Rhinolophus ferrumequinum: one gene and its partners. The protein of the gene in region 3 purifies or fractionates together with the protein of the main gene of each other region. This does not show direct contact. Links are inferred from orthologs where the notes say so. Each region holds a gene or a part of one and is shown on either strand. Other genes may lie near its edges. The genes, in order: PEAK1, CCDC85C, PPP1CC and DNAAF10.

Region 1 (8,018 bases), on a different chromosome or scaffold from region 3:
TAGATAACTCCAATTTTTGAAGACTAGCTCAGGTAACCCACTAAGAAGTATTACAGGACACTCTCGTGCCACCAAGACCCTAAGTCTTGGTGGGTAGTTAGTCAACTACCCTTGCTCCTCTGTGCTTCCATCCATAAGAATCTGCTTATACCTGTCCTACAACACATCACAATGTAATTATTGGTTATCAGCTATCTTCTCTTAAACTGTACGCTCCTTGCAAAAAGGGATATCATTCTACATATACTCAGGGCCTACCACCATGCCTAACACTTAAAAGGCACTCGAAATATGTGTCAAACAAATGTGAACTATCAATTCCTGGCCTGAAAGTTACTAGAATTTCCCCAAGGAAAACAACCAGTAATGAAGGAGCCTCGACTTTCCCAGGAGCTCTCCAGTAATGAAAGGACTCAGGTGATGGTGGGAAGTAGGAATTACTGTAAAGAGAATAGCAATGAGAAAATAAAGTTCATCACACACACTTGCCTCTTGCAGTGAAAATAGGTATTTGCAGCAATGATATGGAGCCATGAACTCACACTTGGCATGCCAGGAGCCACAGTTTGGTTTCTAAATTACTTAAACAACCCATCCAACAAAAGAGTATGATCTGGCAGGTTTCCACACAAACAGCGAGAGCCCCGCACCTGTTCCACTTACATAGCACGTCACTACAGTTAACAACAACAACAAATCTCTCTCACGAAGAAATGCTAATCTCATGATGCTTCACCATGGAGCAATTTCAAAGAGTTACTATATGAAATGTGCCAGAGCATGAATTTATGGCTGATGCTTATTTGGCAAATATGGTTGGTACTGCTAGACGTTGAAAAACATGTATGCAAATAAGCAAATCAAAGTTTTTAAGCTCACAGACTTAAATATTTACATTACCATAAATATACAAAGATAAATGTTTATAGGAATACACGCATAACACATTCCAGGAACAACTTTTTAATGTGATTGTCAGGAACAGTTATGAAGTGGCATTATTTCCTTATGGGCCTCGGGGTATGTTTAAAAATGAATTCTGACAGCATGTTAATGGGGTACAAAAATTATCAAGGACATTTCTTTGTACTGGGTAAAATGAATAGTCATAGTATAATAGTTCAAAGCAATCTTATCTTTTCCTTTCAACAAAACACTTTTCTTCGCTTCCTGGAAGCCAGCCAAGCATAAATGTCAGCCCCTCAATGGAGGGTAGAGGGATGGAGAGGAGGACCACACATCAAAAATCCTTAAAGAAAATAATCTGACATTTTTTCCCACATAATACAGCCATGTTAGAGTCTCCAAAATAAAGACATGATAAAATATTCTCTCCTCTTCCCCTCTGACAGCTATGGAAAGATGTTTGTTTTTCACATAGTTTGTGAGTTGGTCATAGCCAAAACTCACTAGCAATGGTATGAATTCTGCTTCCATTGTTAACTGTTAATCTCTGGGCTGAGACTCTAACTCCATATTTGAAGCCATGAAAATGTACCCTACTTGCCATTATAGTTTACTAAACGAGTCACCAAAGAGAAGTGCCAAGCACTTCAGAAAATAATTAAGGTAGTCAGTGAATTGCACTGTCTAGAAATGTTCTGAGATTACGGAAGCCATCAAGAAGCAGGTATCCAAGATTGCACATGGAAAGTTTTACCCCTGTGGATAATTCACGTAAAACTTCCACACCGCAGAGAGCAATATGGGTTTGCCAAATACACACATTACTACATCATTTCATTTACTTTGGTAGACAAAAATCAGTAGGTAGGCCCCAAAACAGAATCCTCAAGGCCATCCCAATTCGGGTGAAAAGCTGTTGACATACATCATCTAATGACCTAAAAAATAGCCTTGTATGTTGGTCTCCAAATATGTAATTTAACGTATACTCTTACCATATTTAACAGAGGCAGAAGGAAAATGTATTAGGCTTCCTATAGCAAGGCCAATAAAGATGAAATCTAGTTTTCCTTTAATTCGTCAAAACGCCAGCCTTCCAACAACTCCATTCCACAGCTCTCAAATTCCTAAACTTGGGTCTTAAAAATAATAACGGATTGCAAGAAAGTAACATTTAAAGGTGGGAGGGCTCCTCTTTCCTGTTGCTCTCAGCAGTCTTTAACGTCACCAAAGGACGAAACACGAAATCCAACTCTCAGACGGGTGGTGCAGGCGACGGGGAGGGAGGTGGGAAGGGGGTTCAGACCGCAAGTCCCCATCGCGGGAGGTAAGAAAAGTTGCAAGAACGGGATGAGTCAAAGGGCAAAGGAGAAACAAACCGACCAACCAAGCAAAGCCGCACGTTAGTTAGGGGGCTCACAAACCGCAGCCCCAAGTGAGCAGGCAAAGAGCCACCGGTTTCGTCCAGGCGCTGCTGGCTAGGCTGCGCCGGGTGCTCCGGGGATCGGGGCGAGACGTCCATGCGAACTTAGCAAGAGGACGGGAGCCCTTCCTGCCCCAAGCTCCCGCCGGCCAGCTCCCCCATCCAGCCTTCACTTTCCCCACCAGGCTCCCAGCCGCGCCCGGAGACGTCCGTCGCCGCCAGATCCCAACTTTCCCTCCTCTGGGGGGCGCCGAGCTACCGGGGCCGCCGCCGCTGCCGCCACCGCCGCAGGAAGGGGCGCGAGGGGGCGCGCGGTGCCGGCGGGCCCCGGGGGCACAGGGGCGGGGGGGCGCAGGGTTGGCCGGGGCCGCAGAGCCCGCGCCGGGGCCGCCGCCCGAGCCCCCGCGGCGGCGCTCCCCAGACCCCGCGCTGCCCCGCCCGGATTCCCCCCAGTTAGCGCCCTCACCTCGCGGCGACCCTGGTTCCGCAAGCCGGCGCGAGAGGAGAAGGGGACGAAGGGGACGCGGACAGCCTTGCCCCCGTTACCTGAGGGGCGCACACGCCACCGCGGTGACCACCATCGCCAGCCGGCCGGTCCCCTTCCTGCTCACCGCGGCCACCGCCGCCGACCAACTGACACTAACAACAACTAACTACTCGACGCCGCCGAGTCCACCGCGCGCTCCCGGCCGCCCGCCCAGCCCACCAGCCAGCCCGCCCGCCTCCTCCCAGCCCCGCGCACCGCCCTCCGCGCGCGCACTCGCCGCCGCGCTCCTTGAGGAGCGAGCCCGCACGCGCGCACAAGCCCTCGACCCTCTCTGCCCTGTCGCGCCTCCGTCCCTCAGGAGGTATCACCGTGAGGCCCCGCCTTCTCGTGTTCCTACCCCAATAGAATGAGACCTAGAGGGCTTCTGATTGGCTAAGGAGAGTGTGACCAAAGGAGGAGGGCGGGACGACCAGAACCTCGGGCCGGCATGAAGGGAAATTTCGGTTCAAGTAAGTTCTAGAGGAAAAGGGAAACAAAGTATTGGCCCATTTGGTGCCGGAGCCTCCTAGGTCAGCCTGCGTCGAACACGAAACTTGTGTTTTCAAGGACTCCATTCGATAGTAATTGCCAATTTAAGCTACAATACTTACTGCAGACCTTAGCAATTCTTAAAAACTACACTTCCCAGAAACCTTCGCGAAAATAAGTCTCGCTTTGCGTAGTCACGTAGTCCTTCGCCGCTTTTGAACAAAATAATCCCTTCATTTTTCGGAAGGTATTGGGAATAGTATTTCATTTTTCTCCTTACCGAAACAATTTTAAATGTTACTGCGATGAGAGAAGTTGCCTATGGGAAGATAGTTAAACAATTACGTAAAGAAAGAAGGATATCATAATAAAGTATTGCGGAGGAATTTTTTGTCAAGCTGCGAGACGACGGAGTGAGAAGAGTGAATGCGATTGAGAGGGGCTCAGAGAATTGTCCTCTGTGCAGGGACTTTCTTTAGCCCCAGGCCCCTGCCTGCCCCTATCGTCAGCAGGTCAGTAAGCAAGGCGAGCTTGGGGGTGGCCACAGTGGGGGTGCCCTTCACCCCTTGAAGACCATCGCTCTTTTGCTGTTGTTAATTGGTTTGTCTCGGGTTGAGGCCGACTGAATGGGGGCGCCTCACTTCCGGTTGGGGGAGGGGAAGAAGGCCGTCCTGGGGGAGGGGAAACAACTCACTTCCTGTGGGGTAGGGGGATGATTTGGGGGTGTCCCTCCCACACTTCCTGTGCCGGCGAGGTCTTGAAAAGGTGGTGCTTGTTGCCAGTACAGCACGTATTTTAAAGGTTTGGAATTGTGTTTTATGTGAAAAGTTAGATTATTCCACCAATTTATGCTCATCTCCAGCCTCCAGTAAGAATTTATGTGAATTTTGTTTCAATGTGTAAGATGGAAAATTTTCTCACCGACAAAATTTTCTTAATGCGCTCGCCAAAGAATAGAAACCATTTGTTAAAATTCTCTCCTCCTCTTTGCGAAATGACATGCTGTACTTTCTTGTGTAACTCGTAATTGTCCAGCTCTGCTCCCCGACTCACGTCCAACCTTCACCGACAGGTTTAGTGTTCTCTGCCTTGACATGACACAGGAACTCTACAGAACGCGACATTTTACATAAATTATGAGGCATGTTCACCTTACCGGAGTGAAAGTATCATACTGAAGTACTCAAATACTTGGTGTTGCCTTAATTGATATGGTATCTTAAATTTCCTAAACCTGTTGATTTTGGACTACAGGGTTTGCCCTGTGCCTGAGAACAACTTCCTCAGACTTAAAAATAATCATAATTGTAACATGTAGCATTTGTGAAAGTTAGCCGAATACATTTTCCCCCTTTGTGATTTAATTAAATTCAGATCAGTTCAACAGCCGTATCTATTTGTTCTTTGGGGTTTTAAAGCATGGTGCAAGAATCAGGAGATTCAGCCCAGATTTTAAGTGGGGGGCGGGGGGAATTTGGTTCACAAAGGACAAAAGATGATTAAGAAAAAAATTTCTGTTTCCTATATTATCAATGGTTTATAAGTAACTATATGTGAAGTGGAATGAACACTCAACAATTTTTATTTCTTGGCTTCTGTTTTCAAGTACCACAATACTTGGGGTGGGTGGATGTATAACGAAGGAATCAGTCTATTTGGAAATTACGAAATCTCAACAACTGTAGCAATTTTAGAATATCAAGTGAACTGTGATGTTCTTCAAGGATTTTTAAAAGAATGAAGCCAGTGTATTTTTTTCTTTTGAGATTGTTACCTAATCTGTCCTCAGAATTTGCAATTATTTTAATTCTAGTTCTTTTAAAAAGTTACTTTGTTTAGAGTTTATTAGAAAATGTTTTAAATTACATGTTACAATAAAGGGAAAAAATATGTTTTAACCTTCTGTAGACAAGAAAGATCTAAGACCCTAAAAATCAATGAGTTATCTTTTTAAAGACTACCACATTTCTGCAGTAGTTGAAAAGGCAAGACAAAATGTCTGTTGTCATTATAAGGTTACAGACATGTAGACTGCCTCAAGTATTAATTAATTGCTTAGAGAGAAGGTGTTCACTGTCTTCTATATTACTGTAATATAGAGGAAAATATGATATGGTCATTCTGACAAATTAAACTGTTAAACTATAGTATTAGGAATTACTGAAGTAAGTAAAGATTGGAACTAAATGAAAAAGAGAAAACATCGTTAAAATATTGATTGAGATAGTAGTATTGCCTTTTGGAAACTTCGGAAAGCAAAGAAGTTTTTTAAAAAAGAAAGCAAAGTTGATTAAATTGGTTTCTGTGCTGTTTCATGGAATAAGTGCAGTGTAATAGAAATAAGAAAAATTGCTGGGGTTGAAAGACTTGAGCAGCTTGAAAAACTGTTCAGAAGATTGCAATATATAAAGCACATATCTGAGAAAGGATGTTTTGTGATAAGTGGTAGTTATTCATTGGTTCCATCCAAAAAGAAATACTAGAAAAGCTTGTGAAAAATAAAGGGAAAGTCATGGAACCTGCGAACCTGCTTTTAATTCTCTCTAAAAGTGTTTCTGTGAAGAGGATTGCTATCTCCCAAAGGCTTTTTTTTTTTTTCTTAATGCTTTTTGTTGCAGTTTTCTTTGCATGTTCTAATAGAACCATACTATCAAAGTTAGAAAAATGCTTTTGTAAGTGTGCTCTTGTTACATCTTTGAGTTAATGAATTTGAGATTTTCATTCTATTAGTTGCCATCTATAATAAAGAACTTGTCCATTTTTAGAGTGTTTAGATTAGATAACCAGAAGCAGTCATTTGGATACACTGTTCACAGAGGTTTGAAATATTAAAGCAGTAAGTCAAAATTCTGTATTTCATCTCAGTGACATTTGATTAGCCACAAAACACTAGACACCATATATAATGCAAAAGTGTCTTTTCATTCTTTTGTCTACCTTTTTTTGTAAAATCATACTAATGTTTTACAACTATAACTTTTTCGTGTGTTGTTTTAGTAGATTTTGCCATGAGGTCAAGTGTTAAAGAGAGTCTCCTAATAACTTGAATGGTTTTTGAATGGTTTTTAAACTTATTACTCTGCAATCTTTACCTGTACTTCAGGGCCTTCAAGAGTGTTCAAATGAGAATACCTCTTACATGACTTTTTGTGATTTCAACAAAAGTTTACTGTGGGCCTACTGTGTGCTAATCACTGTATTAGGGACTTGGAGTGCATCAGTGAACACAGACAAATACCCGTGTTCTATTGGAGTTTACTCTCATTTCCAAATTACTTACTATTCCTAAGTAAGATCTGTAGTGTGATCATCGTTCAGATTGGATCAAGAAGCAACCCTACACTTGATCTCTCTCAGGGTTGATCTCCAAGCCATTCTAAACCCAGTTTTGAAAATTTCAACCTGTTTTTCCTCCACCCCATCAAGCCCATGTGTTAAATATTCAGCCTCATTCATTAACACATGCATTATGATCCTACCATCCTAGACTCACTCCTTTATATGGTAAAAACAAAAGTGAACAATGGGGGAAATACGGCATCACACAGCCCTGCGTTCAAAACTGGTGTGGACATTTTACTAGCTGAGCTTATTAGCTTGGCAGCCTTGAGCAGTTTACTTGACCTCTCTGAGCCTCAGTTGCCATAAACCTAAATGGGGTTGTTTGGTGGATCAAGGATATTATATGTAAATCACCAGGCACAATGGCTGTTATTATGAGCTTAATGAATGCTATTATTTTCCTCTCAGTCTTGTTTCTGCTCTTCTAGCTATTGGGATTTGCCCACATGACTGTTTTAAGTCTTTCATATTCCCAAAAGTATAGGATACAGTACTAGGATTATTGAAATTCTGTCTTTCCCTAATAGCATGCTCACTTAGCTGTCAAGATTTTATTTTTCGTTTCTTGTGAGAAGGAGACACCATGTTTCCCTGAAAATAAGACCTAGCCAGACAATCAGCTCTAATGCATCTTTTGGAGCAAAAATTAATATAAGACCTGGTATATTAAACTAAGCCCGAGTCTTATATTAATTTTTGCTCCAAAAGACGCATTAGAGCTGATGGTCCAGCTAGGTCTTATTTTCGGGGAAACATGGTATCACTAATTTCCATGGTCACTTTAGAAAACATACATAATAGAAAAGTTTTAAGAAAAGGTTAAGGAATCACTAAAGTAATTTGAATTTTTGTGGAAAGACTTTAGACCCATTCTTCTAAGCCTATTTAAATGCTAAGCCTAACATTCAACACCCTTCACACTATGACCATATCTCTCATTAGCTATCTATAGTACATTCCTAACTAGGTTGGTCTCTGAAAAAAAAGTTCTATACTATATCCTGTCTATCTTTGTTCATGCTGTCCTCTGCCTTGAAATACTTTTGCTTTCCCTAAAAATCCTTATCAGATGCCACCTTCTTTGAGGCCCTTTCTCAGGTACCATCTTCAACTTCAAGAAATATTTCTTGATGTCTGTCTTTCCAGTCTCTCAATCATACATGCTCAGTTGAACCTCCATTTTGTACTTACAGTATTTAATATTCAGTGCTGCTGCTATTGTTGTTTCGGTTTGTTATTGTTATTATATGTATGGTTTATGTACTGCCATAAAAGGCTTCAGACTATCTCTTATTCCTATTTGTGCCTCCTGTCATACCTGACACAATACCA
Region 2 (7,865 bases), on a different chromosome or scaffold from region 3:
CCTCCACTCAGGCTGAGGCTCATTATTTGTTTTATCTACAGCCTGCAAAAAGGCGTTTCTAAGAGAAGGGCCTTGCCTTATTTCCAGGCACCCTGTTCGTCTTGTTGGGAGAACAGCTCAAGGCCACCCATGACTTTAAGAGACAAAACTAACAGTAGCTGCACTGTCTGCAACTGAAATCTGTGATAATGATGCTGAATTTTCAGTGCGCCCCAAAGCACAGGTCTGCCACCACAAAGCCTGCAGCAGTCCTGTTCGCAGTGTGTGGGGGACCTGGGGGAGGGGTACATGATTCTGCAGGAAACCCTACACCTCAACCCCCACCCACCCAGTGGGGTGGAAACCCTCAGGTCTAGTGCAGTTCCCCACTCCTGCATCACTGGCTGCTGCAACTGGCACACAGCCAGACAGGGTTCGAGTCCCCTTGTCCAAAAGGTGACAGAACTTCTCTGCAAATATGCTAAACACTCAAGCACCTCAGTGCCCTGCAGTGAACCACTTTTGCCAGGTGTCACCAATGACGCAGCTGAAAACATTTCATTTCCCAGCCACAGGACTGAAGCAGTCCCTCCCTATTAATGCACTTGGGGAAACCCAGGCCCAGAAATCTGACTCTCCCAAGGCCCCCCCAGAAGGTGAAGCCAGAGAGGCTAGGACTGGAGTTCCTCATCCCCCAGACCCTGAAACGCCAACACGTTAAACCACCTAACTCTGAGCTACTGCCACTGGCCTTAAGGAGCCTGAGGTTGAAGTGGGGGGAGGGTCGGTGAATACAGAGTTACAAAAAGTAACCGGAGTGGTAGTCATAGATTGCTAATCAGTAACAAAATATCGGTCTCAACCTGGTCCTGCCCTGAACTCACAAGCTGGAAAGATAAATAAAGGAAAAACTGTCCTACACTAATTATCACCACACCTCCAGTTCCCACCCCAGACCCCACCCCAAGGTGCCTTCACAGGCCACTTGGCCACCACACTAGAGAGGTCCCTCCCCTGCTTAGGCTGTCACTCTGGGAAAGAGCGGTCATTTAAGGCCTAGATATATTTTACTCTGAACTAGGGAAGCCTTTAAAAGAACCAGAAAGGGCTGTTTAATCTCCACCTTTGGGCAAACAGTTCAGGTAGCAGCAATTGTCACCAGAACTGGGAACTAAGCCACCAAAAATGTGAAAGAACAGGGAGGTAGGAGAGGAATGAGGCAGCAGGGAGGAGGGCAAACGATCAGGGGAGTTGGGACTGGGCGCCACTGTTCCACTCCCCAGACCCAAGCCGGGGGCGCCCTGCACTGGGCCCAACAGTCAGTCACACTGGCCTGGAAGACCTGAGCTGTCATGAGGCCAAAGGTCCCGCCACCCACACACACCCTTAACACCTAACACCATGACTCTTCCTGAAAGGCGACCAACAGTTTACAAATCCCTTCAGAGGCTCTCTCCACCTCAGATCCTGGAGGCAGGGACCACCATCTCCATTCTACAGACAAGGAAACTGAGGCATACAGAGGAAAAAGGGCCAAGGATCCACTCCTGGCACATAGGTTCCTCTGGAAAGTTAGAGCCTCCGCTGAGAAAGGTCTCCCCACCCCTGAGAAGTGCAGGACAATTAACAAACCCAGAAGGCTCTAAGCCCCATCCTCTGGCCCAATGACTCTGGGTCTCATCCTAGCAGCCTGTGCTCCTTCCCAGCCAGCAGGCAGCACGAGGAGGCTCAGGTGGAATTCCAGCCCCAGCACACACGTGGACGGAGCTGGGGGTGGGGAAAGCCTGCTGCTCCGTCAGAGGGAAAATTCATGCATGCTAAAAGGGCCTTTCTTTTTGTTTTTTCCCCATGAAGAACTTCCCACTCCCCGACAAGGGTCTCCGGGCTGGGGTGAGGCGCCCCTGGCCAGTCCTGCCTGCCCGGATACTCATACTGATAACTCTGCAAGACAGAAACTTTTCTGGGGTCTGGTGGGTCCCGGCCGAGCTGCGGCTCAGAAGCTGGGCAGGGACACGCCTCCAGCAATTGAGCAGAAAAAGGCCACCCAAAGCTCTACTGCGGGTGTGCGTGGGATCGCCCTGCCCAGAGTATGGATGGCAGCTGGAGGAGAGGTCTGGAATGGTGGCGCCCGCGGGGGAAGGGGCCGTGACCCGCGCTGCCCCGCCGGTATTGTCCTTACCGTGCAGGCCATTGGGGATGCTTCGGTGGTGCGGTGGCGCCGACAGGTCGTCCAGGGATCTGCGCGTGGCTACGGCTTTGCTGTCGGGGACCTTGTGCGGCCCCGGAGGCAGCAGCGGGGGCGGCACGTGGTGGTGGTGGTCCGGGCTGCCGCCGCTCCCCGCGCTCGACGTGCTGCTGCCGTCGCCCACGTCGCGGGCCCCGGTGCCCGCCGCGCCACCCGCCAGCGGCCCGCTCAGGCTGGCCTGGCTGTCGATGGAGCTGCGGGACCCCGCGCCGCCGCCGCCCGCGCCGCCTGCACCCCCCGCCAGCGCCGCGCGCTCCTCGTCCAGCAGGAGCACCAGCTCCTTGAGCTCCAGGTTCTCGCGCAGCAGGGCCTCCTGGCGCGCCTCAAGCTCGCGCAGCTTCTGCTGCGAGCGGGCCACCTCGTGCCACACGGCGCCAGCCGCGTGGCGCCCGAAGCGCTGCCACTCGCGCGCCAGCTTGCGCCCCTTCTGCCGGTCGTCGTCGAGGAAGCAGCAGAGCTCGCGCAGCTCCTGGTTGTCGTCCTGCAGCCGCTGGTTCACGTCCTTGAGGCCGCGGATCTCCAGCAGGTGCTGCTGCAGCCGCCGGTTCACGTCGCGCATCAGGCCGCCGTGCTCCAGCATGAGGCCCACCTTCTCGCCCTCCGCTCGCCGCAGCCGCCGCGCCAGCTCCTCCTTGCTCCAGCGGAGCAGCTCCTCGTCCGGCACCTGGCTCAGCTCCTCCGACGCCGCCGCCGCCGCCGCCGGGGGCTTCGCCATGGCAGGGCCGTCACCACGGCATCGCCCGCGCCCTCGCCGGGCCGGCGCTCCCAGCGCCCGGGCTGTGCTGGGCCGGTCCGCGCGCGGGTGGGGGTCGGCCGGGGGTGCGTGCGGCCCGCCCCGCGCCGCCTCTCGCGTCCTCACGCAGCGCCTGCCGGGGCCGCCGGGAACCCGCGCGTCTCCGGGCTCGGCGAGCAGGGACCACAGCTGCGTCCGCCGCCGCGGTGCCAGGCGCTCCCCGGACTCCGGCGAAGCAGGCGGAGGCCCGCCCCCGGCCCAGCTCCGGGAGCCCCAGCCTCCCCGCCCACTCCGGGCGGGGAGGGGGCGGGGCGCCGTGGCCCGGCCCCGCCTCCGGGGGAGCGAGGGGGCGGGGTGAGGCGCGGCCGAGCCCCGACATCCCCCCGCGCTATGTGCCCGCCCGCCAGGCGCCCTGCCAGAGGCGCGTTCGAGCCGCGGTCCCGCCCTCCCGCCCATCCGATTGGGTCTCTTCGGGGGTGTGTGGGAGGGGCGGGGCGCACGCGGGGGACGCCGAAGAGATGGTACAGTCCACCCACTGGGCTTCCAACGCTCCCCCATCCCCCCGGCGGTTCAAGTTTCTGCGCCCGGAGGACGCTGCCTGGGCCAATCCTAGGGCTACAGGGCGCTTTTAAAATGCAGGTACAGTATGGGGAGGGCGACGGTGGGAAAGGTAGGGCCGGGCTTCCCTTAAAGGAGACGTGCGGAATTGCGCGCAGAGCCCCATCCCAGGCCCTCGACCCCCGCCCACCCTCCCCGTACCCAATAAACACCCACGACCCGGAGGACAGCTCCCGTTCTCCCTCCCGGGGCACCAGAGTCCAGCTCAGTCTGAGATACAACGAACAATAGGCCTGTGACACGGGGGTCGCTCTCCCGGCGGCAGGGCGGCTCTTTGTCCCCTACCCTGCCCCCTGCTCCTTCACCCCCATCTCCACCGCGGTGCCTTGCCGGAACTCGCAGAGAGCTTGCGTCTCCTCTCCAGCCCGGGGCTGTGGCTCTATCTTGTGAGCACGGGGAGGGCCAGGGCCTCGCCCGCGGTGTCCCGGAGCACCTCACCCTATTCCCTGCCCCGAGGGGACAAGGGCGCCAGGAACGTGTCCCCGCCCCGAGCGGCGCTCAAAGCTCCACTCCCCGCACACCCGGCCGCCGGTCCCAGGGACAACGGGGGGAATCTGCGATTCGCAAGGTGAAAACCTCTGGGACAGTGGAGAAAGGTCTCCCACTGGGGCCTTAACACCGGGGTTGCAGGGCGCCGAGCGGGCTGCAGAACCCCCTCCCAGCCGACAGCCTCGCCCCTTCCCACAGCCTGTGAGTCTGTCTCGTTATCCTCGTGTCCCCGAAGAGCATTTACGGCTCGTCTGCTGAGAGCAGAGCGGAGGGGGGGGTGTCGGTCCCCCGGGACCTGCAAGGAGATAAAACCCGCGCACTCGACCGTGAGCAGCCACAGCCTGGAGCGCGCGCCCGCGCAGCAGCTGATGTCCCCATTTACAGTTGCTCAACCATTCACCCGACACCCGTGTTCGCAGCGCCTTCTCTAGGCCAGACCTGTTCTAGACTCCCAGGGGTTTCTGCAGGGGACGACAGCAGAGGCCACGGCCCTCTCGGGGGAGAGACCCGGAGAAGATAAACAAATTAGGTAACTATGAGACTGTAGTAAGTGCTGGGCTGGGAATTAAGACAAGCTGCTGTCACAGAAAGTGATAATCAGTTACTTTAGATCCCGTGGTCAGGGAGGACCTCTGAGGAGGTGCATCTAATCTGAAATCTGAAAGAAAAGGACAAAGACAGGAGGAAGGGAACCCTAGGTGGAGAGAACACTTAGTGCAGAGGCCCTGGGGTTGGCCTGTTAGTGGCCTATTCAAGGAAGGCCAGTGAGGCTGGGAATGGACAAGGAAGGGGGGTGAGAGATGAGGCCAGAGGGGCCAACTCATGCCTGGTTCTAAGGCAGCTGGGAAAGCAGTGGGGAGTTAGCAGGAAGCAACATGACCCGATTTGCCTTTTCGGAGACTCGCTTGTAGGCCATATGTGGAGAAGGGATTGGGGGTGAGGGGTGTGCACAGAAGTCCAGATTCAGTACCTCCTTCCCCCCACTCCCATCCACTCCTCTCTGCAGGTAGATGTTCAGGAGACCAGGTGGGAAGAGCATGGGCCTGAGGGGCATAGCTTGGAGGATTAAGCCCAGGGGAGCTGACATTCCCCCAGACCCTGGCGAGGCCGTTCTCCCCTTCTGGGGCACTGTGCTCCACAGGCCCAGCCATTTGGGTTTGGAGAGAAAAAGGGTTTCAGCTCATATTGGGGAGGCCATGGGTCTTTCTCACCCCAAGAAGCCAAATTAAACAGCTCCATGAAGGCTCCCCCCACCCAATGAAGCCTGGGCACAGATCTGCTTCTGGGAGAGTCAGAACTGAGCATACGATGCACGACTCACTAGGGAAGTCTCAGGCAGGATTAACCCTGTACTTGTGGGAACCCCCTTCCCATTTGCCTGTGGCTTTTCATGCTTCCTGTGGCTTGCATCCCCTGATCCTCCTCCCCTGGCAGCTTTAGCTGAACTTTCTGAGAGAAAAATGAAGCCTCCATCTAGATGAGGTTTGTTTGCATCATCTACAGACGGCGGGACCGAGAGTCCCCTGGCCAAGAGTTCCACAAGAGCGTCCCCAACATCACTCTGGTGCAGCAAAGACAAAGTGCTACAGATGAGGCCACCGGGTAGCTTGAGAGGAAGTCTCTGCTCCCCGCACCATGGCGGACAGGCTCGGGCAGAGCAGGACAGGATGGCAGAAGGCTGAGAGGGCCCACAGCTGAAACAGGCTCCTGAAGCAAGAGGGCCATCTAAGCAGGAGACCCACGGGCCCACAAAAGGCCCACATCCCCAGGGTCCAGTAAGAGGCGCCAAGTCCCCTAGAATACTCAAAGCCCAGCAGACCCTGTAGCCCGAGCCAGGATCTCGGAAATGTCACATGTCTGCTTTTTAGCCCCTGGGACATGAGAAGCCCTGCCTTGTCATGAAAATGGTAAAGCCAGATCATGGACCTCTAACACAGTAATTCTCTAGATAGCCACCCAGTCAACGGACTTGTGGGCCTTTTAATAAAGATGCACCACCAATCCCCAATTTCCCCCCCAGAATCTCCTAGACTGTATGTGTCCATTTAAAGCCACACGAATGTTTTTGAGAGCCAGCTGGGGCGAGAGCCGGTATCCTAACACAGAGTAAATAAAGTATTCCAAAATACCCCAAAATATTCCAAATTACCACCCTGGTGGTAAGTGATTGTCTCCCCACTGGGAAGGGAAAGGGCTCTGTTACTCTCCTGCGTGACTGGGGCACGCAGGTTACGCAGGTTACCGTGACTGGGGGTGCAGGTTACCATCTGGTGTTTGCTGAGTGAATGTGCGACCCTTCGGTGCATGGCCCACTGAGTCTGAACCCTTCATTTTGAAGATGAGGAAACTGAGCCCAGGAAGGTCACTTTCATTGCCCAAGGTCAATTCATTCACTGGTTTTACTGAACACAAAAATATTACATAAGACTTTACACATAAATGCGTGTATATATATATATACACACACACGTATATATACGCATTTATGTGTAAAGTCTTATGTAATATTTTTGTGTATATATATATATATATATATATATGCGATCATATATACGTTGTAAATTGTACCACAAGAGATGAGCAGAACACGTCATTTTGGAAGCATCTGAGACACTGGGAGCAGCTTCCTGGAGGAGCTGACGCTGGAGTTGATTCTTGAAGAATGAGTAGGAGTTTGTCAGATTGTTAGGAGGGAGGAGAGGGTCAGGATACTCCAGGTGGATGGACCAGCACAAGCCAAGGCCCAAGGTGAGCAGCAGTGAGGGTGTGTCCAGACACAGCCACTGCTGGAGTATAGGAGTGGAGCTGGGTGGCAAAGGGCTCTGTGAGCCGTGGGAGGTGGTATCACCCTCTCCCTGGGGCTTTGATAGATAACAACAGCAACAACAGTAATAATGATCACCACCACCTACCACTTGCCCGAGCTCCGTCTGATTCTAAACCAGCCCTCACGTGATGGTTTTAACAGCCCTAGGAGATGTTGTCATTAGCTCTTCTGGCATTGAACATGGATTCCTGTTGGCTTGGTTGTTTGTTTCCACGAAGCTAAGATCACCGAGTGTGAACTTATGGGCAGTGTTCAGAGGCCGAGGAAGGTGGTGTGCCCAGCAGAGGGTTGTGCTACGCTGAATGTTTACGATGCCCATGGAAAAGGGCCCGTAATTCTTGACACGGATAGTGTTGAAGGCTCGCTTCTGCGTGCCCACACGTGCTAGGGTTTTACACAGATGGGCTCATTGAGTCCTCACTGTCGTCCTGTGAGGTAACAGTTCTCTATCCCCATGTTACAAAGGGGTACACTGAGGCTCACATGGCCCCCACCCCTACTTGTGAAAGCCAAAACGATCTCCATACCTTGCCAAATGGCCCCCGGGGGAGCTTCTGCTGTCCTAATACCCATTGCACGAACATATTACTTTTACTTTTCTCCTGTTGAAGATTTGTTTCTAGTTTTTTGCTTTAACCTGCAATGCGGCCATGGATGGATATTCTTACACACATATCAGAATGTACATGAGCATGAACTTGGCTCACGTTTGTGCCGAGACACAGTATGGCTGGGTCATACAGTGCACACAGCTTCAGGGTGACCAGATGACGCCAGCTCCTTTTCAAAGAGGTGGTGCTACTTCGCACTGCCGCCAGCGGGGTATAGAGTGTGGCTTGCCTGTCCTTGCCAACGGCTGGTGGTGTCACTCTGGTGGGTGAAGCTTTGTGCACTTTCCACGACCCACTTTGTCTCCCTTGGGGCTCTCAGAGCACAAGAGAAGCCCAGGCCAAATTTCATACATGAGGTGCCCA
Region 3 (7,733 bases):
GAGACCAAATCAGCAGCTAGCTTATTTTCTCTCTTAAATCCAAGTTTTACCATGCAGTTATTTAAACAATCAAACATTCGTTATAAAAAGAGAAATAACCTTATAAAGTTTTATCATCAACGAGGCAAAACTTGGATAAGAGCTTCTAAGGTGGGTTGCACAAGTGATACTTAGCTTAAGGAAAAACTACTGAAAGTGCAAAAAAAAAAGAACTGCAAAGCCGGTGACTAAGATCTAAATCAACATGTTGTTTTTCTTAAAGACTTCACTTTTGAGTTGCCTTTTCAGTACTATCAACGAGCTACTTTTCAACTAGCTTAAAAGATGAGGCAATTCTGAACATGTAAAAATTCTAACAAGGTCCCCCAAAATCACACTGCCTCCATTTTCAGATATATTTAAATCTTAATTAAAATTTTTGGGGAACAGGGTTTTTGGAAAATTACAAAAATCACAAAATGTATTATAAACATCTTCTAACTTGAATCTATACATACCGTGTTTCCCCAAAAACAAGACCCAGCCGGACAATCAGCTCTAATGCGTCGTTTGGAGCAAAAATTAATATAAGACGCCAGTATATTATATCTTATCATATTATGACCTGATAAGACCAGGTCTTATATTAATTTTTGTTTCAAAAGACGCATTAGAGCTGACTGTCTGGCTAGGTCGTATTTTCGGGAAAACACAGTATACATGTGTGTATATGTATATTCAATAGATCATCACCATTTCTCTGCCAACTTAACATCGATGAGAAATAAAAAAAGGAATATAAGTATACTGTGCAGCTGGCCTTTTCCCAAGGCACTAAAACATACTACTCTATATTAATTTTAACAAAAAAAATTTTTAAATCTGGTTTTTAAGTACAATATAACAACAGAGAGAAACTATTAAGAAACAATGACTGATTTCATTTTAAATGATCCAAGTTTACCAAGGCAAATTTCTTAGCACAATTTAAAAAATAAGACTAAAATTTACAAAATCTGTTATGTGAATAGAATTATGGGCAAACCAAAACTTAAGTTAACGAGACTTAACTGATCTTAAATTTTGTTTCTAATCCATAGATTTCACATTTTCCTGTTTCCTCAGTGAAATAAAGCCCCCCCCCCCCAATCTAGCCATACATCCCTGCAGAGAAGTGCAGAACTTCAAAATTTTAAATGAAAATTTTAATAAAAAGTTCCTTTCTTATTGCAAACTGGTTCAATTGTTTCTGGACCACTGCTGCATCATATAAATCAAAGAACGGCATTAACTAGTATGAAAAGCATGGTTCTTATAATAAATGCAGGTACTGAATGAATGATAAGGTCTTCACCCACAAATGGGAATGGCATTTCAAGAGCTTTTCAGGGGTCCATTCAGTAGGTTTTTTCCTTTTCTTTTAATAACATATAAAAGGAAAATACCCCGCACAGATTAAGAAAACATATTTTCAGGAATTTCATTTTAATGACTTAATTCAAAAGATCTGAAAATTCTAACTCCATGTTCATCATGCTGTTAACTCCATCTCACAGTATTTATAGTCCAACAATATTCTAGGAGGATAATGTAAAGGCATTAAAGAAGTTAAAACTCAGCCAAATCTACATTATCCCGTGCCCAAATAAAGGGATTTGAAATCTCCCAAAGTAGACGGGCTCTGGGAACCGGAGGCGGAGGAGGGAGTTCACTCCAGCGTCCCTCTTTAAGATCCTAACTTCTTCCGTCTCCCACATCAATACGAATCAATTGCAATGCATCTCACGAGTCTTAGGTCAGCCAAAGCCAAAGCTTTATTTTAACCTTCGCTTAACCACTGGACACCTCCTTCCTTCACACATAGCGTCCTAGCTCCCTGGATTTGAAATCTGTCACTAATTGTGTAACCTTGGTCAAGTGACTTCACTTCTGTGTCTTAGTTTCTTCTGAAAAACCGGAAAAAACAATAGGACCTACCTCGCAGAAACTGGTGGCAGAATAAATGAATCTGTGTAAAGTGCTCAAAAACAAAAAAAATCCAGACACATAGTAAGCGCTGGCTATCATGATTGTAATTTATTAGACGAACGCAAAGCGCTTTACAGAGCCTGGCACATAGGAAAGATCATAACGAAACTGTCATCATCCTTGGTTTCACGTTCAGAAAAGAGCGCGGAGACCTCAAGATAAAAGACGACTTGAAAAGAGTATTTGGGAGCGCAGGAGAAGATGGGTTCCAACATTCCCTTGAGAGGTGAAGGCTGGTCACTAAGTAACAAGAAATGAGCCCCCAGACCCTAGCTCCAGGGAAAATAAAAATGAGCAAGACAGGATAGAAGCCCTTCAACCCGGTGGAACCCACATCCCATCAAATCGCTTTATCGGAGAGGACGAGTACCAGAAATTACGGAACACGCCGTCCTGCAGGTTGGACTGGGGTCCCTAACCTTCTCTCCTCCAAAGATTGGTCCGGTTTATGGGGTGCAAGGGGGTACGACCGGAAACGTGGGGGTGGGGAGCAGAGTTTTCAAATTTCCACGACCAGGAAGAAGGCTGCACTCGAGTGCAATGAATGAGTGGAGCCGGGAGAGTCCGCGGGTTGGGCCAAGTGCGGACCCAGGCCGGCCTTCCTCCGGCAGAAGCCCCCAGCCCGCGGGCCAACTCGCGGGCTCATTCCCCTCCGCTGTGCAAGCCCAACCGGCCTCCCAACTCCCCCCACCGCGAGCCCTCGAGGCCACCCACCTCCCCTCAGCCCACCCGCCGCCCCCTTCACCTTCCAGCAGCCGTTGGATGATGCTGTCGATGTTGAGTTTATCTATATCCGCCATCGCCTTCCCACCGCCGACCTTCCCGCAGCGGCGCCGCCGGCGGCTCGCGCCCGGGACTCACACCTCCTTTCCCACGCCACGAGCACAGCGGCAGTGGTGGCGGCGGTGGCAGCAGCCGCTGCGGGTCCCCCCCCAACCGCCCCGCTCCCTGCTTCCTCCTTCTCTCCCCACTGGAACCACGAGAAGAACAAAATGGCCGCCGACTCCTTAGGCAGCCTCGGGCGGCGCACGGATGCGCGCGGGGGAGTGCAGCGGCCCGGCCGGGACTTCTTTATGGGCCATAGGGCGCACGGGAGGGGGCGGGGACAGGGCGCGAGAAGGGGGCGGGGCCAGAGCGCGGGAATGGGGGAGGAGACGGTTTAGCGTAACTGCGACCGCGCGTGGGATCCTTCCGCCAAACGGGCCGAGCAAATAGGCCCCCTGGCGGGAGCGTGAATTGCAAAGTTACACGCGGTAGTTGAGGATGGGGGAAAAGATGTTGTGCGCCCTAGAACTAAGGCCTCCGCGGGATGCTGTTCACTGGGGCCAGATGTTTGCTGACCTGCTATGTGGAAGCCCAGCGAAGGAATTCGGGGGTCCTGGAATTCACTCCTTAAGATAAACCTAGGCTGGAGGTGGAGAGGGAGAATAATAGAAGTAGATTGACTTATTTTGGATTCAAATTTGCTGAGACTTGGCGGGAAAGAGAAAGATTTATTTGGTGACTAATAATAATAAAAAAGAATCTTCTCCCAGATAAATCAAAATGTTAACAGTTATTCATTCTGAGGGGTGGGAATATGGGTATTTGTATATATGTTTTGTGTGCGCTCCATAACTTTTACATTTGGCGAAAAAAATTTTTTAATCTACCCTCAATTTTTTTCATCGTCCTTATGTTTGGGTTATCTTTCTTGAACTCGGTAAATTATATAATCATGTGAAAGGTTACCCTGATTCTAGCCAGAACGAAGGAGAACGAGCGTTTGTAGCAATTAAGGGGAGAATTTGCAGATATCGCGCGTTGGAGTTGGAGGCCGGTATAGAAGAGCGAGTTTGCAGGGGCAGGAATTGTTGGCAGGTCCTGGGTTCTGCAGACACGCGAGGAAACTTTGGCCCATTTTCCTCGGCCTCCCAGCCTCCCCAAGTCCATCTCTCCACAGGAAGCCCCCAAACACCTCCGGGCTTTGCGGGTCTCCTTTATCTGGGTTTGGATGTACAGCCCACACTCAGAAAACACATCTGCTCTCTTGGATCTTGACCTTTTAATTTCTGTTTTTTCCTGCAGCGATTTACAGTTTGCAAAGCCCTTCCCCTCCCCTGAGAAATTCCTTTTGTTTTTCAAGGCACGCAGGGTGCACGAATTCCCATCCCCAAGTGCCATGGAGGTGATTGCACCATCCGGGCATCCATCCTCAGATTAGACGTGTGTGTGTGTGTGTGTGTGTGTGTGTGTGTGTGTGTGTGGCGGGTGGGGGTGGTAAGCACAGCAGGGCGCCAGTCCTTGCACGTGGACCGGCTCCTGTCTCCAGAGCGCTGAGGTTCAGAGCACCCCCTGCTCTGCTCAGCGACTTGTTTCATTACCCAGTCACCAACTGCACTCTCCAGAGCTGTGGCTCTGTTCACTAGAAAACACACACAAGTGTTGTTTGTCAGCCCAGGGCACAGAGCCCTGTTGGTGACATTCGGAGTGGATGCCCAGCGCTGTTGTGAATAGCTGGCTGTGGAGGGCAGGGTGGCTCTCCCTGGACGAGTTGAGACTCTGGGCTCCTCCAGAACAGGGCCATCCTGGCAATGACAATTAGAGCAGGAATATGAAAGCGATTCATTCAGCAGACATATTTATGGAGCACCTACTCTGTGCCAGGCATTGTTCTAGGAATGGAAGCAGGAGTGAACAAGACAGACCAGGCCCTTCTCTTATGGAGAGTCATCTAGTGAGCCAGACAGACAATAAACAAAGATGCAAATAAAAATATCAGCTTCTAATAAGTGCAATGGAGAAAGAAAACAAACACTGTACTCATCTTCTTAGTATGTGCCCAAAACTATCTCACTGAATCCCCAAGGCAATCCTAGAAATTATGTGCTATTCCTACCACACCCATGTTACAGGTGAAAAAAAATGAGACAGAGAGGCTAGGTTGTTTGCCAAAGGTCACACAGGTAGTAAGTTACAGAGCCAGGGCTGGAACTCAGGACAGCCAGAAACTAAAGCCCTTATATTCAATAAATCCCCACTGAATCCCCAGCACCCAGCACAACCCTGGCACACACTAGGCACATAACAAATGTGGAACCCAATGGACTGATCTAAGTGTGTCTCCACCCACAGTGAGAGTGCCATAATTTTCCATATACAAAATAGCAGGTGTGTTAACATCTGCTGACGTCGGGGCTGGAGAAGGACTTCAGACTGGACTGGGACATGGGGAGGGCCTCTTTGTCCACACGCCATTCTTTGCTGGGCTACTCCCCTCCAGAGTCCAGTTTTGCTGGCATGCGTGTAAAAGAAGTAGCTGGCTCTGAGCCTGAGACTGGCATAAGCTCACAGAGTAGGCCTGAACAGCTCCCAGAACACAGCCAACAGCTCTGGGACGAAAAACCTTATCCCCTACTGGCCTTTTTCTGACCTCCCCAAGGACCAGCCGACAAGCATTTGCCAGAAAAGCTACTGTCTAAATAGATGGTGTGTCCCTTCCCCTCTCTAGTTTGTCTATTTGTAAAATGAGGAGAGTAGATAAAAATGTACTTTTCGAACTGTCTTCCTTGGATCCACAGAGCTTTTTAGGGGCTTGTTGAAGATGATGGGGAGCTAATAGGGTTCTGGTCCCCAACTCCTGGAGTCAACCAACGTAAGAACCATAGCACACAGTAAGCACTCTATCAAAATTAACTATTATTACTATTATCTGCTTTAGACATTGAGCTTTCACAAAAGATTTGAAGCGGGGGGGTGTAGCTAAAGTATTTGAACCAATAGTATTTCTAAGGATACTGTAAGCTTTGAGGACCCTGTGCCTAAATGGGCCAAGCTGGTAACATGAAAGAATTAAACCACAGGTGGGTAGGAACTGTGTGTGATGAATTGGAGAGCCATCTAAGGTGTGGCCACTTCCCAACTCTGCTCCATTGGAGCCTTGTGGGATACGGTGTGGCCAGATCCTCTGAGTTTTCAAGAGAACTTGAATTTGGGGCATATGGATTTTTATGTGAAATGTTCCAATTTTTAAGTTGGTCATGAATTCCAATTCGTTTAAAACACTGTGTGAGGCTGACAAAATACATCTGTGGGCTACTTTTGGCCCTAGGCCAACAATTTGTAACTCTATTCTAGAATTTTGGGGGTGAACTCTTCCCCTTCCAATTTAATGAGCGTTATTATTGTTAAATGATTCAAAGAAATGTTGTTGATGAGGTTTGCCAGAAAATCTGGACCTACTTGGATATTGTGAAGGTTTTGTATAAAGTAGGAAACCGTAGGAAAAAATACGGGTGAAAGCCCTTCGACAGAGTCCCCAGCTTTATTTCAATGTCCTGTGGTATTACCAGCAGACACTGGTATTGTTTTTTTGCAAATGTTTCTTGAGGCCTTCCTCTGTGTGAGAAGCTGGGGACATAGCAGTGAACAAATCAGCATAGTTCTCATAGAACTCCCAGTCTAGTGGAGGAGACAGACAGGAACAGAGAAACAGTCAAAGAAGGTAATTCCAGAAAATCATGAGTTTTGTGAGAGAATTAGAAGGGATCATGTCACCACATAGTAGAGAAACTCTGAGGATTTGACATTTGAGTCAAAATCAGAAGATTGAGAAAGAGAATCATGGAAGAGTAGTCCCCCATCAAGGAAACAGCAAGTGCAAAGGACCTGAGGTAGGAACAATATTCCAGCACTGGGGGAATGGAGAAAAGGCTAGAGTGGCTGGAGTATAGTGTGAGGGGGAGGGTGTTAGGAGAGAAGGATGAAGTAGGCGAAGGCCAGATCACTCCGGGCCCTGTAGGCCCCAGGAAGACAGATTTTATTCTAAGCCTAATGGAAAACAACTAGAGGGTGTTAGGCAGAGGAGTGACGTGATCTGATTTGGTTTTTAAATAAGCTTATTTTTTGAAACAATTTTAGGTTTACTGAGAAGTTGCAAAGATAATACAAAGAGTTTCCATATACCATTCACTCAGTTTCCCCTTAATGTTAATGTCTTACATAAGCGTGGCATTGCTCTTAATTTTTCAAAAGACCTAAATCATAAAGAAATGTTGGATCGTATAACATCATATAACCTCATTAGCCAGAGAGCATCTTCTCCTAAAGAAGATCTGATTTCATTTTTAAAAGATCCCTTTGGTGTCTGTAAGGAGAATGGACTATAGGTCGGCAGGAGTGGGAACTGTGAGATCAGGGAGAGGGGCTGACGAAAAACGTAACATCCATGCTCTGAGCCTCAGTTTCCTCATCTGCAAAATGGGGATATCACTCATCTCAAAAGGTTGTGAGAATGAACTTCCCAATGTACTTGGAGAGATAATAGTAATAATGAGAACAATGATGGTGACAATAGCTAGCATTTATTGAGTGCTTACTGTGTGCCAGTCTTTGTGCTCATGGCCATTCCTCATGATCAGAGAGAGTAGATTCTTTGGGATGTGTCCAGAAGCCTTCTCCGAGGAGCGGGGTTTAGATGGGCCTTTCCAAATTTCTTGAACTATCCCTGGCCCTCATGGAGTCCATGTTGATGTTGGGTGTGTCTCTCTGAGAAGGCCCTAAATATACTTCCATCTGGACTTACCCAACAGAGAAATAAGGATGATTACCGCCTTGCTAAATGTTCCGTAGCTTCACAAAATGACTCACTCCGCGGTCGGGAAAGCAGCAAGCTGTCCTGGTGTCTGGAGGGTGGATTGCACTGCCATTTGGAACTAAGTCTGGCAAAGGGAGGTTCACTTTAGAGC
Region 4 (6,841 bases), on a different chromosome or scaffold from region 3:
TTATTAACTTTCTTCTTTTCCTATATCTATTTTTAAAATGTTCAAGCTTTGCGCAGTGGCAGTATCCTAGCCAATGAGGTTTATCCATAGCGTAATTACGGCTAATTGAAAACTAAAATGTTCTATCGTTAACACATCACTTTTGTTTAAAAGGCCAAATTATTTTTAAAATGCATGAGACTCCTCCAGAATCTCTACAAAAAACAAAGAGCACTATTTTACTTTATGAACAAGTATATTCCTAAAATGTACACAAATGATATAGTTTTGTAAAAAAAGTTACAAGTCTGTAGATAGATGCTCTTTGGTTGAGCTTTGATTGGTATTTGTTCCTAATACTTCACCGCTAAGTTTCTTTCTGCTATTCTAATATTTCCCATCTGTTCAAACCCCTGACCCCAATCGAATGGTCAATAAACCAATATTTAAATTTCCCAAGTTATATTATTTTATAGACATACATTTACTCATTCTTTTAACAAATAATTTATTGAGTGACTGCTCCTTATATACCACACTAAAGAATGACACCTTCCTTCCTCTCCAGGAGCTTACAATCTACCATATTTTGCCGTGTATAACGCACACTTTTTTGCCCAAATTTGTGAGGGAAAAACAAGGATGCATGTTATACACGGGTAGTACTAATTCCGCATCTATATAAATGTTTTTAATTCTTTTATTTCTGCTTATGAGTTAAAAGTGTAACTCTAGAAAGCAGTAACGATATCCATATGCAAAATAATACCCTGGAATACGATAATCAGTTTTGTTGAACTTACCATGAACTTGCAACGATGAAGAGTTCTTGGCCTTCTACAAAGCGTAAATATCATAAATTTGTTACCAGTACATAAAATTTTTTGTACTTTGTACTTGTTCTTGTGTTTTGTGATTATTTGTTACATAAAATTTCTTGTACCGTAATATGATTAAAAATAAATGCTAAAATTCCTTTATAATACAAAAAACAAGTATCTAAATGTAAACAAATAAAAATTTGAATTAAAAAAATTAAAACAAAAGGTTTTTTCCCTGAAAGTTTGGGCCAAAAGGATAGGTGCACATTATACACAGGGAGTACATTATACAGAGCAAAATACGGTAATTAGAGATAAATGGAACAGAATGATATAGAGAGGGTGCCAAAAAAATGTATATACATTTTAAGAAAAAAACCGTATTAAAATTACGCTGATGGTAACCACTTTGAGGACCTTTTGTAATTGCAGAAGTCAAACGTGATTTGTATTCATCTTTTGTTATCGGTATATATTGAGCATTACAATTTTAATAGTTTTTCCCTTTCTTAAAATGTGTATACATTTTTTTTGGCACCCTTTGTATTTCAGGCACAGATAGTAAGTACCATAGGAATGCAATGTAAGAAAAGTTACGTTGTGTGGGGATCAGCAAGAGACTTCATAAATCAAAAAATCTGAACTGGACCTTTAAATAGCAACACGTAACTGGGAGATACAACAAAAGGTAGAAAAGAACAAGCCATGTTTATTCAGAGTAGAGTGCCTGACTAGAGAAGACAAACTGACCAAGAAACCTGGCACTCATAGAAAATTAAAGTGGAATGGGGCCTTACATACCTCCTAATCTAATCCTTCCTATCGAAATTGTTTAACCCCTTAGTCCTCCAAGCAGATTCTCTCCATAGCTTTTGATCCTTGGAGTTGTCAACCTTCCCTGTAGTCTATTACAACCCTAAACATCTGAGTATGACAATTTTTTTTTTTAGGCAACCCAAATCAAGGCATTTTTAAAACTCTAAATTGGTATAAAAATGTTAGTTAATGTCACTACTTTCAAATTTTCACAAGTAATCTCTACGAAACTCGTAAATCTGGGCTTGCCACACCCGGCTTACAGCCCTTCAGTGATGTCCCATTTTTCTTAGAAAAAAGGCATAAATCTTTAAATGACTTACAGGTCTTGCAACGCTGGTCCCTGCTTACCTCTCCTGTTTCAGAAAATAACGTCTCTCCCACCGCTGAGCTTCCGCATATGCTGTTTCCTCTGGAAACCTCCTTCTCTGCTCCTAGTTTGGCCTAGTTAGTTTCCACTCATCTCAAATCTGGTTTTACTCTCATAGAACGGTGTTCCTTTACGCTAGAGTTCACCTTGGTTTGTATTTATGCATCGTTGGTGTGATTATTTAACTGATACTTTCTCCCACTAGACAACTCCATGAGATCGGCGACATTGTCATTCACACGCCTGGGAACACCCGTCAATCAACTGATACTTGTTGAAAGAATGAATGTTAGGTTGTCTCCTCCAATTACACCGCAGGCATCCCGGTGCCTGCTTTGGCTCTGCCTGTGTGAAGAAGCATTTTACTAACAGGGGCCTTATTGACAGACTCTCCACAAACTGCGCACTGCCCAGAAGGGCCTCGAATTTAGACCCGAAGTCGGAACGTCACTTCCAGAGATTTCGCTCGGGATTGTGGAGGTGGGTGAAGGAAAGGGCCGGCAGGGCGCGGATGCACAAGCCCTCGGAGAATTCAAGACTCCAACGTAAGCATTTTACGTCGAAGTTATTCCTCAATCTTCAGTCATCTCCGCTACTCCCGCGCAGCTTAAGCTGTGCTTTTAGGGGACCCTGAACGAAAACTTTGCCAAAAAGAAATGCAGACCCCCAAGATCCGCACTCGTCGCCAACGGCACTCCCAGATCCTGGAACTGGGCAGTCTCGACCCTGAACCCACCTCCCGAAGCAGCTTTAGGTCCCCGTGCTGGATCTCGTACAGCTGAATGACGCCGGTACCCCGTGCGAAGTTGCCCATGGTCACAAATTTGGCGCTGCAGGGCACCCACTTACAGTCAAATACCGTGTAGTTGAGGCCCTTCTGGATATGGGCGATGATCTGAGGCTTCTCAAAGGCCGACATAGTGCAGCCGACTTCGCCTCCTCCGACTGACACACTCAGACCCTGACAAAACACTAACCTGGAAACCAGACTCCAAACAGTAATGACAGTTTGTCCTTCCCACTTGCCGTACTCGTCCCCGAACGCCCTAGCAAGCTGGATGTAGTTGTCTTAGTTAATGCCAGATGTGCTCCTGAAGTCACACAAGATTTTTCTTCACCGATGGCACAAATTTGTTCATTGCCTTTACCTACTGCCTTTCGCACATATTCAGATGAGAGATCACAAAATGCTCGGGCTGTGGCGGGACCAGAGGGAGACCCTAAGACTAAGGCATATTGTAGGATAACCCCCTTTCCTTCCCAACAAGCACACACAGAATCGGGCTTGAAGTCCCCTGCGTGGGACCTCTTAGGAAAGGGGGCGGAGCCCTGGGGTGGGTTGGCCGACGCTGGAGCCGCCGCGGTGCCGCCGCGCACGTGTTCGAGCCGGAAGCGCCGGCTGCTCCTGGAGATTTCTGGGGATGGCGACCGAAATGGAGGCACAGAGCACCGGGGCCGAGGACGGCTTCACCCAGGTCACCCGCAAGGGTGGCCGGCGAGCGAAGAAACGGCCGGCCGAGGAGATCTCCGCGGCGGGGAAGGACGGAGACGCGGGCCCCATGGACACGGAGGAGGCCCGGCCCGCGAAGAGGCCTGTCTTCCCGCCCCTCTCCGGGGACAGGTTCCTGGTACTGGCGGGACCATAGGACAGGAACGGGGTAGAGGCCAGAGGGTGGTCAAGCCGGTGGCCTTTGGGTGATGTTGAAGCTGCGGGGCCTCTTCTGGGGTGAAGTTTTTGGAGAAGTGACTCGGCTGAAGTTTAATTCTTTCAGTTAAAGGAAGCTTTTTTGAGGATCAGCTGTCATTTTACAACTCCGCCCCCATTCCTCCAGACATCTCGACTTGTGTGTTCTTGTATTGTAGGATGGGAAAGAAGAAACAAGAAAAATTCCAGTCCCAGCTAACAGATACACACCATTGAAAGAAAACTGGATGAAGATATTTACTCCCATTGTAGAACACTTGGGACTTCAGATACGCTTTAACTTGAAATCGAGGAATGTAGAAATCAGGGTAAGGAGAATGTCAACCTTTTCCCAATACACTAGGGTTTCTCCTACAGGGATGAAAATGCATGAATAGATTTTCCTCACTGGGACTTATTTTGTTAAATGGTTTTCTCCCAGTTTTCTAATTTAGTGATTTTTGAACTTTTCAAATGCCTTCGGAGTCTGCATTTAATACATATTAGTTGAATTCATATATATCGAGTCTGATATATGAAGTGAAGAGGTTGTCATAAACATAAGTATGTAATTAATGAGCTGAAGTATGTGCTGCAATACAGGCAGTATATATTTTAATGGTATTATTTTGGGGGAAAATGTATTATTTTGAGAATAAGTATAAATTATATATATATGTATACACACACACATCTATGTCTACATATATGTGTATATTTTTTTCGTTCCATGGTATCAGTCCAGGAGTTATACAATTAAAATTAATTGACTTTGGGCTTTTTCTGAGTGCCAATTTTGTATCAGAATCAAAGACCAAAATTAATTATATCTTCCTTTTTGAGGATTGTTATACTGCCATCAGGACTGGTATAGACTCCTCTCTGCTGAGGGACTAGAATAATGGAATAAAGCTGAGAGGCACTACTCCAAACTGTTGGTAAAGTTTAAAATATAGAACTTGACAGTAGAGGTTCTTGCCACTTTCATTCAGGTTATTATGGTTTCATGCCAAAACTTGTTTCCCTTGCTTCATTGCTTTGTGTTTTCACCACTCCATCCTGTATGCCAGAGCCAGATTCATTTTCCCAGATCACACTGATTTTATTATGATACCCTGTTATCTTCAGTGTGTCTGAAGGATAAAAGTTAAGTTTTTGACTGAACTTGCCTTTCAAGTAGGTGTCTCATCATCTCTTTGAACATTTTTATGTCCATTCATACGGATGGGTTTCCTCTCTCATGAAGGCCCTCCCCTCCCTACATCCTTTGTCTTCCTCCCTGGGTGCCATTCATCTTCAGGGTCTAGCTCAAGTTCTTTCTCCTTTATGATCGCTCCATTTTTCAGTTATGTCTTCAGTGACTAAACTGTCATTGCACTTAGCCGTCCTGTGTGTTGCAGCGTCATCACTAACACTCGTTGATACTGCCGTATGCTAAGCAGTGGTGCTTGGTGTGCAGTGCTCCATTTTGGCCTTTAGAACAGCCCTACGAGGTAGCTGACATATCCCCGGCTTATGGATGTGAGGAAACTGAGGGTCAAAGGAGTGTCGGCCAAAGTCATCAAGATCATAAGTGACTCTTGATGCTAGTGGCGACCTCTCAGGATCTCCTATTCTTACCTCCTTATTTTACAGATGAGAAAACTTAAGACCTAGAGTATCTATGGGACTTGCCCAAGGTCACGTATGGGATTGGGGCTGGGGTCTAGTTTTAAATGTGTCATTATATAACCCTTGTATGATTTTAAATTTGCCAAATAGTTGGTCTCCTCAACTAGATTGTGAGTCTGTGTGGGAAAATGGAAATAACAGTTCTGCAGTCAGACCTGGATTTGAATTTTTAACCTTTTTCACTTTTTAGTACTTTGGTTTCCTCAAATATAAAGTATTTATATCACTTAAGATTCAGGGTTGTCAGGAAGCAGAACTAGAGTGTGTCAAGCATCTTTGTAGTGCGTGTCATTTACAGTGGTATTTTATGAATAGCAGCTATTTCTGTGATTATCAGATAAACTCTGAGGGCAGGATCCCTGCTTACACCAAGAATGGTAGTCAGTACTGGAGTTGGTGGTCTGAGGATGGAAGTCCTTCGGCCTGTGAGCCACTGTGCTGCGCCAGAGGCATCTCGCTGTTAACCCCCAAGGCAGATCAGTCATGGAGTGCAGCCAGACACTGGACAGTCTGTGGGTGGAACTGTCCAGCTCTGGAGCCGGGCAAGTTTTGTTTTGCAAATTAAACACAGTACTTACCTCACCCAAAACTGGGTCAGAGAGAAAATACTGGGGCGGGTGGTGGTGAAGGAAATTACAATAGTGGGCAAGGTCATTCCTAGTATTCTGTTAGAATGTTATTTTTTTCATCCCCACCTACAATTTGTGCCTTTTTTTTAAAACAGACTTGTAAAGAAACCAAAGATGTTAGTGCTCTGACAAAAGCAGCTGATTTTGTGAAAGCCTTTATTCTCGGATTTCAGGTGGAGGTGAGTGATTTCATGACATCTGAAATAGGGGCTTGAAACATACTCAGTATGATTGTTTCAGTGGATTTGGGCATTTATTTTTCCATTTGAGTTTTGTACAATTTGTAAATTTTAGCTTAATGCTCATTCTCAGTTATCTAAGTGGAAAGGCGTCACAGTATTTATTTTTATATTGTAGGACGCACTTGCCCTCATTAGGTTGGATGACCTCTTCTTAGAGTCTTTTGAAATTACAGATGGTGAGTATGTGGTAGTCGTTTATTGCAAAATACTGTACTTTTATACTGCTGACTTAGTATTGTGTGTGACACCCCACTTTCTAATAGCATCAAGTGAGCTGTATTAGCAGGTTTTTTAAAAAAATGTATATTTTGTGTCTTTTAGTAGAGAATTTTCGTTAATGAGTAAACTTGACGTGGAAGTGGGTGGTGCACTGGAATGGCTTGCCTAGAGGTCTTGCTTTTCTTATTAGTGAAGCCCCTGAAGGGAGACCACCTGTCGAGGGCAATAGGAAGAATCGCTGGCAAAGGAGGAAAAACCAAGTTCACCATAGAGAATGTGACACGGACGCGGATAGTTTTGGCTGATGTGTAAGTATGTGATCTTAAGAAAATTACTGTCATGATTTATATTTGATCTTTGGCTGGTTTCAAAAGATCATAAAGATTGTATTTTATGCATAATGTTGCCAC

The links.
Region 1: the proteins of PPP1CC (region 3) and PEAK1 purify together in Homo sapiens (affinity purification with mass spectrometry; 6 studies listed by BioGRID and IntAct, counting the BioPlex papers as one, with this or other methods). This does not show direct contact. The link is inferred for Rhinolophus ferrumequinum from reciprocal best matches to the Homo sapiens genes PPP1CC and PEAK1.
Region 2: the proteins of PPP1CC (region 3) and CCDC85C purify together in Homo sapiens (affinity purification with mass spectrometry; 5 studies listed by BioGRID and IntAct, counting the BioPlex papers as one, with this or other methods). This does not show direct contact. The link is inferred for Rhinolophus ferrumequinum from reciprocal best matches to the Homo sapiens genes PPP1CC and CCDC85C.
Region 4: the proteins of PPP1CC (region 3) and DNAAF10 purify together in Homo sapiens (affinity purification with mass spectrometry; 7 studies listed by BioGRID and IntAct, counting the BioPlex papers as one, with this or other methods). This does not show direct contact. The link is inferred for Rhinolophus ferrumequinum from reciprocal best matches to the Homo sapiens genes PPP1CC and DNAAF10.

The regions. Positions count from the first base shown.
Region 1 is NC_046289.1:100,468,668-100,476,685, reverse strand, and holds the start of PEAK1 (inactive tyrosine-protein kinase PEAK1), read right to left. Parts: upstream 3,013-8,018; 5' UTR 2,796-3,012; intron 1-2,795. Other genes in the region: HMG20A (high mobility group protein 20A), read left to right, coding at 3,771-3,856. UniProt on the Homo sapiens protein: Probable catalytically inactive kinase. Scaffolding protein that regulates the cytoskeleton to control cell spreading and migration by modulating focal adhesion dynamics. Acts as a scaffold for mediating EGFR signaling.
Region 2 is NC_046289.1:4,646,804-4,654,668, reverse strand, and holds the start of CCDC85C (coiled-coil domain-containing protein 85C), read right to left. Parts: upstream 3,006-7,865; 5' UTR 2,940-3,005; coding exon 2,159-2,939; intron 1-2,158. UniProt on the Homo sapiens protein: May play a role in cell-cell adhesion and epithelium development through its interaction with proteins of the beta-catenin family. May play an important role in cortical development, especially in the maintenance of radial glia.
Region 3 is NC_046308.1:6,336,637-6,344,369, forward strand, and holds the start of PPP1CC (serine/threonine-protein phosphatase PP1-gamma catalytic subunit), read right to left. Parts: upstream 3,002-7,733; 5' UTR 2,808-3,001; coding exon 2,753-2,807; intron 1-2,752. UniProt on the Homo sapiens protein: Protein phosphatase that associates with over 200 regulatory proteins to form highly specific holoenzymes which dephosphorylate hundreds of biological targets.
Region 4 is NC_046296.1:22,363,037-22,369,877, reverse strand, and holds the start of DNAAF10 (dynein axonemal assembly factor 10), read right to left. Parts: upstream 3,014-6,841; 5' UTR 2,906-3,013; coding exon 2,723-2,905; intron 1-2,722. Other genes in the region: RNA-binding protein PNO1, read left to right, coding at 3,408-3,614, 3,850-3,999, 6,066-6,149, 6,328-6,388, 6,622-6,739. UniProt on the Homo sapiens protein: Key assembly factor specifically required for the stability of axonemal dynein heavy chains in cytoplasm.